Drosophila melanogaster: one gene and its partner. The protein of the gene in region 1 binds, or shares a complex with, the protein of each later gene. Each region holds a gene or a part of one and is shown on either strand. Other genes may lie near its edges.

The links.
Region 2: the proteins of boss (region 1) and sev are in contact, whole or in part, in a cryo-EM structure (PDB 9BFQ), measured with the Drosophila melanogaster proteins. Residues at the interface, in NP_542440.1 of Drosophila melanogaster: His245, Gln249, Glu465, Asn474, Val475, Thr476, Thr477, Tyr478, Tyr479, His480, Tyr481, Asn482, Asn485, His486, Thr487, Ser488, Leu489, Glu490, Leu491, Gln497; in NP_511114.2 of Drosophila melanogaster: Glu866, Leu868, Ser872, Gln873, Ser874, Ala875, Phe876, Ser877, Ile878, Arg879, Asn880, Ile885, Phe886, Gly887, Leu888, Gln889, Arg890, Leu891, Gln892.

Annotation. Positions count from the first base shown.
Region 1 is NT_033777.3:25,958,477-25,965,408, forward strand, and holds the start of boss (bride of sevenless), read left to right. Parts: upstream 1-3,517; 5' UTR 3,518-3,567; intron 3,568-4,965; 5' UTR 4,966-5,087; coding exon 5,088-5,139; intron 5,140-5,442; coding exon 5,443-5,913; intron 5,914-5,972; coding exon 5,973-6,422; intron 6,423-6,543; coding exon 6,544-6,932. Other genes in the region: CG14540 (uncharacterized protein), read left to right, coding at 1,000-1,938, 1,996-2,119, 2,187-2,965. UniProt on the Drosophila melanogaster protein: Acts as a ligand for sevenless tyrosine-kinase receptor during eye development.
Region 2 is NC_004354.4:11,084,646-11,091,577, reverse strand, and holds the start of sev (sevenless), read left to right. Parts: upstream 1-5,278; 5' UTR 5,279-5,382; intron 5,383-6,932. Other genes in the region: CG2076 (uncharacterized protein), read right to left, coding at 1-287, 386-527, 601-712, 780-999; vago, read right to left, coding at 1,591-1,852, 1,919-2,057, 2,126-2,207. UniProt on the Drosophila melanogaster protein: Receptor for an extracellular signal required to instruct a cell to differentiate into an R7 photoreceptor. The ligand for sev is the boss (bride of sevenless) protein on the surface of the neighboring R8 cell.

The DNA of each region.
Region 1 (6,932 bases):
TCCGTTTCAAGGCACCGTCCCCACAGACAGATGACCCAATTTTTAAGGGTCCTTCAGCACTTTATTGAGCGCCTTTCTAAATCCCTTTCGCTTTGCATTCCCTTTATGTCTTAAGTGTCTGTAACCTGAGGCTAAGCGGTCTATTTTCAGCAGTCCAGACATGACCTTAAAGCTAGTTGCCTACTTAAGGATTCCTCCAGCGTGGCCATGCCACGCATTCGAATCATTCGCCTTGGATACACGGCAGCCCGAGGAGGTTCAAAGGTAAATAATCGGATAAATATTTGTAATAATTTCTTGAACGATGAACCACTTCCAAGCGAACAGCAAGTGGTATCCAAAACCACTTTCGCACTCACAATCAGATGCAGCTCATTAGCATTTGATTTGGCGTCGAACCGAAGAAATATTTCCGGCAAAGCGGGCAAACATTGAACCTTTGCTCTGTGTCATTGCCATTTGCGGTTAGTTGAGCGGCAAAAGGTAAACAAATTTACGGGAAAACTCCCTCACCACCTGTGGTTTGAATAATGAAGAGGTGTTTGAGGTGTGAAAATAAATTTGGTAGAAACGAAGCGCTGGAGTGAGTAATCAATATGAATGCGATTTAGGTGCAGAGATCTATCATTCCGTGGTAAATATGTATATATTGTACAACTCATACTCTTCGTATAAGGAAGTGAATCAAAATTTGACAAATAACCATAATAACGATTATTTCTGATTATTTTGATAAATGCGAAATGCGACGAAAATGTATGTCGTTAATGTTTCAGTTTATTCACACGAGTAATATTTATCCAATCTATCTATCCAGTAGGCTGGTGTTATAACATTCACTATCTTTCTATATCCCTCATTCATTTTAGCTAAATCATCCAAAGAACATAAATAGATGTAAAATATATCAAATACAGTTTATACATTATTGTGCTTTTGCGTTTATTGGTGCAACTCGAGGCCAACGAAAGTTTGTTTCGGTGAGTAAAGAGCCTTTGGATGAAGATGGTGCGCCCAATTCGTCGCAAGGGAATCGAGGAGGTCTATGGTTCCAAAATGGATTCCTTGCATCCGGTAAAGTCGGTAGCGATATCCCATGCAGGTGTGACCAAGAAAACAGCAAGGGCTGAGAGATCGGGTCCAGGCGGTGCAACTGGCGGTGGAGGAACCATTAGCTCCCGACAAGTCGATGCTCGCACTCAGCGCAGTTTTGTCACCGAAAATGATTACTACATCACCACCAATCTGCCGTTGACGGCGGCCAATCTGCGAAATGCCCCCGGTTCGATGGCGCAGCCATCAATATCGCAAATGATTCCCGGCCATGTCCAGCCATCTCCATATAACGCCATGCCCTCGAGGCGAAACCAAATGGCCAATAAGGCCAGTGCTCGTCAGGCGCCGATGAACAAGGTGCCGCATTTTAGCCCGGCCGAAGGCACGGTAAACCCTAATGGCTATGGCATGTCCAAGTCGAAGGAGACATACCGAATGAAGCACCGCGAAAAGGGCAATACCCAGAGGAACGACTATCCAATGGATGACAACGACGACTACTCCGATAAGGAACTAATGGTGCCCCAGCAGGGAAACATGGGAAATATGCGCCGGCACAATCCGCACTCTCATGCCCATCAAATGCAAATGCAGTTGCAATCCGGAGCAATGCAGCATCCGCCGCAACACCAGCTGCACCAGCAGCAGCAGATGACTACTCACAACCACCTCAAGCATCAGCAACAGCAGCGCCTCCAGCATTCGCAACCGCATCAGCATCAGCATCAGCATCCGCATCCGCATCAGAAGCAGATGCGTGGGCGACAGCCTGTTCCGGCGAGCAAGGTGCACGTGAGTACCGCCGATGACGATGAAGATAAGGAGGAAGATCCTGAGGAGTTCTTTGACCTGATCCGCCAGACTGTCAAAACGGCCGTTGGCGTGAGTTTCGCATAAGTTCCTTAGTTGATTAGTTAATACACTATGCACTTTCTTTAGAACACCATATCCGATGCTCTGGCAAAGAACTTTCGCGATCTGAGCCACAAAATCGAAAGGTTCTCGGGCGAGTTGAAGCAGACAAACGATAACCTGGATAAGCTGCAGGAACAAGTCATTAGCAGTGAGTTTATTTACTTTCAGTGTTTATTTGGTATTTATAATATGTAACTATTTTTTGGCATCTGCAGAGGTAATTTACTTCGGTGAGGAAAATTCGCGACACTTTCGGTACTTGTGCATGAAATCCGAGTACGATAAAATGTTTTACCAGCATCAATCGCTGATGAATGGAAAGCCCACTCAGGAAATGCTGAGTCTTTCGAAGGCGAACTTAGAAGCAGCGGCCTCAGTCAGTCAGAATCTGACACAGAAACCGTCGCATAGTTTAAAACAACAACCAGGAAAAGTGATTAGGAATCAAAGCAAAATGCCTATTAGCGCCAAAAAAGACCATAACGAGTCCCTAATGAACTCCAGTGCCTATCGTAGCATCTGCAAAGCTCAGCAGCCAGTTCTTGCTGCACAAAAGTCGTCATCGGAGCAAAGTTTAGTTGTAAAATCATCTGATGTGGGCGTGCAAGAAGTCCTGGATAATATCCAGCGCTACTGCAATCAGGTGAAGGATATGAATGGTCAGATGTCGGCTGAACTGCCCAGTCTCGAGGACATCTTGATACCCAAGAAAAATTCAAACGGTGGACTTTGTCAGCCAGCAGCCATGAGCTCTAGGACCCTCGCAGGTAGTCAGAAAAATAAAAAGGTTGACGACACGGAGATCGAAACGCCCAACGATAGTACGGATGAGACCTACACCGAAGTGGATGACTTCCAGCTCTCCTCGGACATCTCGACCGGCAGCGAGGACGATGACTGTGGCCTCAAGTATCCAAGTGGAGCAACTACGAGCCGGCCCAACCGCAAATTAAATCGAAGGGGAGCCAACCAAGGCGCCGGAGATGGTCAGTAAAGCCACTGGAGTGAAGATAAAGGAGCATTCAAACTGAAGGGGAACCCATTCCTAGAAATCGCCTTAATACTTATTTAAATATTACTTTTGGCATGACCTAAATTATTTCTGATAATGTAAAGCCAAAAAAAATTGGATCAAATGTTTCGACAAATTAACTATAACTTATCGTACCTGGCGTACATGTATTCATTTAATTCATTTTTAGGATCACAATTAAACTATGTTCAAAATTTAAAACTGGCTTTCATATTCTTATTTATGTTATGTGAACAGCTTACATTGAGCATAAAACTGACCTATTTGGCCCTTGGCAATCCCGATTCTCGCTGAGTAATGCCCATTGGTGTCACTAATAAGTGCATATTATATTGACTGCAAAGCAAGAATCAACTGAGCTGGCCAAAACAAGGCATCACCCCCATCCGGCAACCGGGTAAAACTGAGTCGAGTGGAAAATAAGGCCTAAGACCACCCCCACTAGCCCTAACCTGCAGCTGCATTTTTATGGGCTTACGAGTGTCGCGGCTCTGCAAGTTCTTCCGCTAGTTCAGTTGGCCAAAACAGTTTAAACGTGGACGTGGTCCGTCGGTAAGATATTGGTGCGTCTATTCAAAGTAAAATGAGTATTTAAATAAAAAGCCAAACAGCTTAATAAGGCCATATAGTTGCTTTTTGGGCAATTAAAGTTAAACCCCCTAAAGGAATTGAGCTCTAAATTAAACTTATGCAACGTGGCCAAATGAAAATGCTTACTTTTCAACTGATGTTGCGTTTGACGTGAATTAAAAGTGTTATGCAAAGCCCCAAAACCCGGAAAAGTGCCATACGAATGTCAAAGCCCAAGGCACGAGTGTCGGTTCTGTTTTCAAGGATATTCCACTGAACAGTTTGCATTGGATAGCCATAAAATAAAATAAAACATTTTGATAAACCAACGAGGATAGCAAACATTGTGCAAGCTATCCACAAGTGCCGAACTGTAAGACTGGCCAAATTGCAATTACTGATCGGCACCTTTGACAGGCCACCCTATTCCACCCTGAAACCCGAAACCCTTTTGCCCAGCAAGTTGGCTAATTGCAATGACCAATATTTGAACTGGCTTCGGGGTGTACATATTTATTTGTATAATTATGGGAAATTGTACACTCGACGTGGAAAGCACTCAATTTCGTGAGTGACTGTTTGAGCCAATAACCATAACAACCAGCGAGTGCCGGGCCTCAGCCAAGTTAGTCAAAACAAAACGGCCAAAACAGGTGCAAAACATTGCCACATCAGTGTTCCGCCTTCGGTTTTCCAGGGGGTGGGTTCGAAAACGGAAAAACTAAAATAAAATAAACTGAAATAGAGACAAAAAAAAAATCGAATAGAACATAATTGCATTGTGCGGGCAACTGCAATGCTGCACCCGTTAACACAGGGGCTTACCAAATCAAATTGGTTGTTCGTGGGCCAACAATAAATATATATGTACGGTTTGAGTGCTGCGTACATCACTGGACAAATATAAAACGAGAAACGTTTAATTGACCCTAAAATCACTGAGGCGTTCAATTTGTGTTCCCTTGTTGTTTTTTCTTTGTTTTTTTTTTTTGCCAATTGCTGTTGCCCAAAACTATTGTGGCTCTGACTGTCAGTGGGTCTAGTGCGTGAATCTGTGCAATAAGTGTGTGCAGTGCCATAAATTCCAGAATTCGGCTTCCACAAAAAACCTCTATTGATTTTCCCGAAGTGAGAGAATATGCGAAACAGAAATTTTTTCCACCGTATTACTTTGCACTGATAGTGGGCAAAATCACGAAGAAACAGACATGGAAAAGTGGAAACTATGCCAAGCCAACAAAGTCTGTGTTAGTGTGACAATTTTTAATGCGATTAAAGTGCAGCACTCTCCACGCAGTCGGCAAAATGGTTGAAGTGGCCGGCAAAAAATAAAAAATACAATTCTGCACACTGGCTAATATCCAACTTACCATTTTCTTTCTTCCTTCTAGCTATCAAAATAAAAATAAAATGATATCAATTATCAGTACATGTTGAAGGAAAGACTGCTGCATTGCTTAATTATCAACGGACATTTTTTGTATTTAATTGTAAAACCTTTAAAACTTTAGAAATGAAGGTCATGGACGCTTTGCAATCTGGACGGAGAAAGCCATTACCAGTGGGTGAGTGCTGAGTAAATGTCGTAAGGCAGAAGTGAAGTGCAATGGAATGAATGGCAACTTGAGGGGATTTCTTTTTCCGGGAATATTTCAAGACCTGTATTTTTCTCAAAATGCCATTCAAGCTTGAGTTTGTGTAGAAAATTCCATTGCAAATATGGTTTAAGTGAATTCCTTTATTGAGTAATTCAATCAATTAACTAGTCAATCAACCATGCTAACCAGAACAAAGTTACTTTAAATTTAAGGACGACGATATTTTCCATCTTATACGAATAAGATTTAATTCATTGTTGTCCTCTGCAGCTCTTCTATGCATCCTAGTCACTGTGTTCTGCGTCTTGGAGTGCCATGGAGCTGACCTGACATCACCCACCAAGAAGTCCGCTCCCCTTCGAATAACCAAACCACAGCCCACAAGTCAGCAGGCCAAGCCCATCAGTATTACCACAAGGGCCCCAACAACGGTGGCATCAACCACCGATGATGAAGTCTCCAGCTCCGTCGATGGTCAGCTGGCCCCGCTCATCTCATCCACAACCGAGGGACCCAGCAGTGGAACAACTGCCAGCTTAGTGCCGGAAATATGTCTCAATGGTCTGCAGTTGACGGTCAATAGTGCGGATGAGGGAACGGTTATACGGAAGCAGGAGGAGTTTGTCAAGATACTCGAAGGAGATGTGGTGCTCAGTGTCTTGACCAAGGACCCCGACTCCGCGTTGTTCGTAATCAATCGTGTGAACCAGGCGAATCTTATAATGGCAGACTTTGAAATTGGTTTGTAAAATTCCGCTATTTATATGCACCTAAATCAAATCCTTCTTATTGAATTCCAGGAATTCGCGCCATCAGCATCGACAACGCCAGCTTGGCAGAGAACTTGCTTATTCAAGAAGTTCAGTTTCTGCAGCAGTGCACGACGTACTCGATGGGCATATTCGTTGACTGGGAGCTGTACAAACAACTGGAGTCTGTTATCAAGGACTTGGAATACAATATCTGGCCAATACCGGGAACGCGGGCGCACCTCTTTCCCAAAGTTGCGCACTTGCTGCATCAAATGCCTTGGGGCGAAAAAATCGCATCCGTGGAAATAGCAACCGAAACGCTGGAGATGTACAATGAATTCATGGAAGCCGCTCGCCAGGAGCACATGTGCCTCATGCACTTCAAAAGTGACGATAATGTTTACATAATGTTTGGCAATAAGCTAGCTAGTCACTTCAAGGAAAACGGCACTCTGTTTTCCGTGCCCACCGATAGAACGGACGATGAATTTCTGGCAGGTGGGTAATAACTACAACGAACAGGATTACTAAAGTTGTGGGTCCTTTTGATTTATTGTTTAAGTTAAGGATTAAGACTGATACATTTTACTTACGCATTAATTTCTTCTTTTCTTTTTAGACTTACCAAACAGAGCTTTTGTCCTAATGGAAAACGAAATTGACCTGAGCACCGCCGTTGAATTGGACGCCACGCCCACCGCTTTGGACGAGATCCTGATCGGGAAGAGTGTGTTACCATCGCGAGTCCTGAGCTTTGCCGGCTCCATAATCGACCTGATGAACTGGCTGCGCGGATCCCTGTCCAAGCACTGTAAGCGTGGTGAGGAGCACGACTTGTATGTGCTGGAGAGCTGTTTCAACTTCCTGAACTTCATCGAGGACTGGCGAACCTCGGAGTACCGACAAGCCCATGATACGGCTGAGATCCTGTCGCTGCTGCTGATGCGCAAGTTGGGCACCGCCATGAACTTTCAGATGTACCAGAAGAAAGTGTTGACGCTGGACAAG
Region 2 (6,932 bases), on another chromosome or scaffold:
GCGAACACCACGCCCAAGCCAATGGCCAGTGGGCCGCCCATGTAGAGGAACTTATCGCTGGGTGCACACGCGGCGATCGTGGACAAGCCACCAACAATGCCGCCCGTGTAGAGAGCGGCGCGCGTCAAAATCGGTCCGCCCATGAAGCAAATGGGTGCGATCACGGCGCCCAGAATGGCGCAGTGCACCGCCCAGGCCAGATGCTTGGCTCCCAGACCCGGCTGGTACTCAATCGAGCGGGCAACTGCTCCACTACCAATGACCAGCGCCAGCGAAGCAATGGTCGCCTAAGCGATTAAAGGCAAATGAAGAGGAAGTGTTATGTTCTGTTGTGTCTGTTGGTCAGGTAGGCGGCAAGAACTACGAATTGTGCAAGAGGACTCACCAAGATGCCGCCACGCGAGGCCAGCTCCAGGAGACGGTGCGAACGGAAGGTGGCTGCTGCTGCGGCCGCGGTGAGAACGCAAGAGCCACCGAAAAAGGCATAGGTGCTCTGGATACGATCGCGCACAAACTGGGGCCACATGCTAAACGGAAAATATAATCTCAGTTATTAAAGTCCCTGTATTTCGCAAGTGAGAGACTCGTGCTATCACTCACATGGCATTATCCGCGATGCTGGTTTGTTTTCCCAATCCCACGCCGTAGTAGCACAGGGCGCCCAATCCCACGGCGGCTGCTCCGGCGGCAGCGCCCTTGCCCATGGAGTATGCTGCACGCCAGAAGAGTACAATTAGACGACCGATATACATAGATGGGGGATTACACAAGAGACTTACCATTGGCACTTGGCGGACCCATCAGTTTCTCCTTCAGCGAGGGAGCACGCATCTCTTCGACGGGCTCACGGGTGCGAACCACCCTGCGGGCGTAGGTGCGCACCGTGGAGAGATTCAGATTGGGATTGGCATTGGCCCGGAACAGCTGGGCCGGAGACTGGGCCAGGATCTTGATAGCCCCGGCTGGACGGGCGGTGGAAAGTGCTAGACGCAGCAACATTGTGTTGTTGTGGTGAAATTCGGTTAGAGGGCAATTGGTTGTCCTTCGGTAAGTGCTGCTTGATTCGGATTCCTATGTGGGGCACTAGCGTTTCTTCCAACTGATTTTAATTGCTCACTGCGGCTTTATAATTTGTTGATTCGTAGAAATTGTTAAATATTTTACTGTCTCTTGTGCTTTATTATCGATAAGTGGTGCAATCGTTATTCGATGTCTGGCTACGTGATAACTAAATGCCTATCGCAGACGGCCACAAATACCGCTAATATCGATATTATGCTAAAATATAATATTGAAAATCCCGAGAAAATAAATAGAAATATAAACTCAACGATCCTGAAGTAAGGAATTCAAATCGTAGCCCGTTGTCTGAGATAATTTATTTGATAAGCTAAGCAATGCTATCGATAGGGCGCCAAGTTTGAATAGCGAGTACAGTGGAAAAAATACACTTCTTTAGACAAAAAAAATGTGAAATTTAAATTTATTTAACATATTCAAGTATTCCGCAATAAACTCCATTTGTATTTGTACACATTAGATCTGCACTAAAGACTAAGTAGTCCTAGGAACAGAGTACCAGTTCACTTCTCACACCTGATACTTCCTCGCCGACGCCGTGTGAATCTCGCCACGAGGGGGTGTCCGCCCGTCGATCACTATCATCTCAGTGAGATGGGATGATCGCAGAGTACCATAGTGGTCATATATGTTGGTCTGCTCCAGAGTTCCCCCCGAATTCGACTCGTAGCTCTTGCACTCATACAGTGGGCAGCATCGGGGATATTCGGCATGCGGGTTCGTCGATGGAACTGGCGTGCAATTGCCCTGCGTCAGTTTCGGCACCTGGCAGCTGGACCATGGATGAGTACGATGATCTGTTACCCGATGCTATGGCATACTAGTACGGCACGCTTACCTATCCTCCCAGAGTTGCAGCGTTTCCAGGCATTGGATGCGGACGCACTGATCCTCTCGCGTGAAGACTTCACCGATATAAAGCTGCCGACCCGTCAATGTATCCATACAGTACTGCTGATTGTACAGATACGCCGAGGCTATAGGGTGAAAGGGAAAATCAACGTATATTACTGGAAAATATATGTGTTATTTGGAAAAATCGTACGTCGATAAGGAATCGCTTGGCTGCCACCGATGATCAATGACATCATGGCCACTAAATAAATCATGCTGCTAATTGACTCCATTTGTGAAAATTTGCTATTCGAAAGAACTGAGATCGGCGGACAGAATTTGGCCCGACGTTTGCAAAGTTTAGCGCACAACTGAAGTCCGTTCGGTTAATCTTCGTTCATTTTTATATTAAAAAACCTAGAGTACATTGTTTATTTGTATGGAATCACACACTTACGACATTTGCGCGCTTTCTCTACAATAAATTTAACAAATTTTACTCGGATCTGTTGAATGTTTATGCGTACGAGCCTGCGAACAGTGCGTTTCATAGGTGTTAAAACAAATGTTTATGATATTGAAATAGATCTCAATACCGTTGAAAAATTCCCTTGCTTTGCCAAAAATAGATTCAATCATACAAATTTAGCTATATTTTCAGTTGATGAGCAACATCATTTACATCTTCAGACTCTTACGCCTTATAAAGCCATCAACTTTCAGTTTATATTACTAAGTGAATTTCTGTTAATTATTGGATTGACAGTTTCGGAACGCAACTTACGATGCTCTGCTTATCGCGCTACAAAATAAAATGGAAGGAAAACGATTAATAGCAATATGCAAAAAGAAACAAATATCGATCCATATTTTGTGTATTGTATATAAGTCCGTCTGACCTGCCTAATCAGCATAATAATATATACCTATATTCGCATGATTGAATCCACAAATATAGAAAGTACTTTCATTGGCATAATTCAATTAATAATAATGATAATTATATCACAAATAGAGCAAAATGTATGCAGAAATTAATAGAATACATCGATTTACTGCTAGAAAATGCAGATTTTATTAAAAATTGTATTTAAGTCGACTGTCTCAGTAATTGTTTGCTTCTGATTTTGAATTGGTTGTACCCATTCTCTTGACCGTTGATGTATAAAATTGTATAAACATTTGAGTTGAGATGCAAAGAATTGTTTACGTTTCGATGTTTTGGTTCGCGCCGGACGATCATGATCATCCAATGCCACCAAGTCCATTATGCAGACAGTCGGGCACTGGGGCATCGATTGGTGGTGAATCATCCAAAAACAGTTCCCAAATCGACACAATACACCATTTAATATAATATAATTTTATGTTACGTTAAGCAACCAATTGAATTGCTTTACAACGTATAAACTAACTCTAGTTTCTCTTCAATTGTCGATATAAATAAAACCTTTTACTCAATAAACTGAAAAAGACTAAAACATCAATGACTAAACTGAGAGAAAGAAATAAATATTTTTATGCAAGACCAATTTGTAGTGCTACAAAATTGCAAATTTCACTACAGTTCAAGATTGAAAAGAGTTTGCATGCAAAATGTGCACAATACGTCAATCAGAAGGTGAATTTCCGGGGTTGTCCCTTTTTTTTTCGAAAAAAATGCGAAAATCTGATTTTCACGTGACAGTCTGTGAAATAGGTATGTAGCACCTAGTCCGCCGGCGAATCCATTGAGAATCGCTCGGGTTGATAAGCCGCATCTTCCGTCAAGTGTGTGTAATAAGTTTGCCGTCTAATCAATTCCAGAATATTTCAAACGATTAGTACGAATTCGATGATCCCAGGCGGGAGATTGGATTTCCACAGATTATTCGGGCCAAGAAATTGTGCGCACGAGTGCAGTTTGGATGTCTGCGGCACATCCTTTCCGTTGGCCAAAAAATCCATAAGCGAAAGGGATACTTGGACTTGATGGCGGAACCGGAAACGGAAGCTGTCACGCAAGCCTTTCACTCGCCGCTCAATTTTTCATCCCGCAGTGTCAGTTGTATGAGTCACGAGTCATGTGTAACCGGAAAATTGCCTACTCTTGTGTGCTTCAAATGCTCGGAAAATGCTTTAAAATATTGCATATTTCTTAGCTTGCGAGTTTTTGATTCTACAGAGTAAAAAAAAAATACCTAAATGTTTGTGTAAATCAATGAAATTAATAGCTTAACTTGTTTTCTTCATATTTCTCGGTTAAAAAGTTATGGAAATATGATATTTTGTAGTTTGATAGAAAATTTTTAATGAAATTTCTATGACTTTCCACATCTCGTTTACTTTTCATGGAAATACACTTCTATTCACCCCAATTGATGACTTTATTTTCTGATTGTGTGGGCTAGTTCCCTATTGAATTCAATTATTTTCAAGCGTTTACTGCTGCTTGCGATCAATTAGTTTAATAATCAATTTAGGTGTGCTGTTAATGCTTAGCTAAATGTAAAGAGTGAGTCAGCTAAACGATTTAAACAAATTTTCTGCCACGTTTATTTGTTGGCGAAAAAGCGCGTTGATTTGCGCTATTCATGTGACGATGTTTAGAGTAAATTGAGTTGTATTTTAAATTATTTCTGTTAACATTTGTAAACGAATAAAGTTTTTTTCCATTGCAAGAAGTTGAAATTTAACCCTCTTTGGATGTAAGCTTTTCAATATATTTAGTCTTAATAAGTCTAGCTCAAAAATAAGTACTATAATTTAATAATTATATACATTTTACATAGCCTCGGCCCATTACCTTAATTTTAATGATACAAAGATGTTACTATGTAAGTCGGAAGCTTATTAAAAACCGAAAATCATCAAATCAACTAGATGCACAATGTTAAGATCATGTTTTTATTAAGATTATATTTTAGATAGATACTCTTGAGGTGGCATTGGTTTCTTGAGATGGAAAATACATCTATCTATCTATGTATCTATAAGAACTTAAATATCTGGCGGCCTGCTTGCGATCTGCGATCAACCGATTGAGTTGAGCTTTGACCCATGGAAAGAGGAGCGCGGTGGGCTATCTACCCATGATATCCAGTTTAGGGGTTGCCCTGCCAATGACGTCATAGTTGCTGCGTCAACGAAAAAGAAGATCAATGGTCATTTAAGATCGGTTCGGTTCAGTTCGGTTCGGTTGCGGTGCGCTTCGTCACTCATCGTTCATCGCATCGTATGGTATCGTATGGTATCGTATGGTATCGTATCGCATCGCATCGCTTCGGTTCGGTTTCAGTTCCGTGCTCAAGTTCTCCAGCTGGGGGGTTGGACTTGGACTTGGAGCTTGGGGCTTGGTTAAAAAGCCGCCGCTCGCCGGCAAATCAGTTCTGCTGCGATCGCGCCACTGCGCACTACGTAACGCTTCGGGAATCGCACATCCAGATCCAGATTCAGATCCACATCCAGATATCTGTGACATTTTGTCGAGTGAGTTGCGTTCTCAAAGATACAAGATACATCCGTGCGCGTATGTGTGTGTTTGCATGAATTTCGGCTCTTTTAATACCCTTTTTTTTTCGCGTGCACTAAGTGTTCCTATGTGTGTGTGTGTGGAGTTGCTTTTCAGTTGGGGCCGCAACTGCAACAATAAAATGCAATTAAGCCGCTCAAATCAACAATAAATTGAATTAAAGCGCGTGAACAGCGCTTAACAACTTCAACAGCGGCGATTCGAGCGAAATGTGGGTGAGAGTTTAAGGCTCCATCGGTTTTGACTTTCTGATTGTACAAATATGTATATATATATACTATAGCATACATACCTTCGACTAATTAATGCAAAACGCTGGCCGGCAGCTTTTGCATAATATTCTCTGAATAACTTTAATGCAATTAATCCCGCTGTGATCTTTCGTGTTTTCACTATTTCGCGCGGTTTATTCAATTTGAATTTCAATTTATTTTCGGTTTTTCTGTTTCATTTTGTTTATACATATATATATTTGTTCGGTCTAGTCTGCTCATCGGGCGATTTAATTAACATTTTCCGTGCTGCTGTGCTGTTGTTGTTGCTGGTAAATATGAAATTAAAGTGCAATTAACTATTATATATACATATATATATATATACATATATATATGTATATCTATGGTTTTGCTGAACTTGCGGACAAAAGGGATTTCCGTTTTTGAAAGTGCGACTCCGCTCGATTATTCTCCGTCCGTCGAATGTGTTTGCATCTTAATGAGGATAAATTTGTTATGGCCACTTCCCGTTCGCTATTGTTGTTGTTGTTGTTGTTGTTGTTGTTGTTTTTGCTGTGGTCGGTCGAAGGGGGCGTGACTTATTGGCCATGCATTACGCCATGTTAATTGAAACTTGTCGCTTGGCTAGCTGATTATGCAGACGCCATATTAATTGGACCATGGACCATGAGAGCATGGACCATCCATGTCCTCTAATCGAAATCCCGGCGACATTTGGATGAGTTGGGCGGTGGAAGCTGGCCAAACCAGTTACGGAGATCATTGGGATTTTGGCTTATCGATCCGGACTTAGATTGTGTGTGTGTGTGTTTGTGTTTACCCTGTTTATCTCGCCGGCAATGTGCGTTGAACCTTTGAGCTGCATCTGAAATAAGTAGAATGCAATGTAGTTAAGCTTTTTCTTGGGGTATATTCACTTGCCTACTTATTTTTATTAATTATTTTCCAAATATATCAAATATATATCAAATATATCAAATATATTATATACATCAAATTTTCAAATATGCAAATATCATTTAATGCTATTGGTACAGCTATTAATCAACTATACATGTAAATTGTTTATGCTTGTTACACTAAATTGAGTAATAATCCGGAAAACTCATGATAATTGACGGTTTGACAAAAATGATAGTAATATAGCATTTTGCAAGGGCAGAACTGCCACTTTGTAAATACAGTGATTGGAGTATCTATTAATTAGACAAAACTTGGCTTGCTGATATACTGCAAATATTTGTAAATTACTAGGTTCGGGCCTTTTAGCA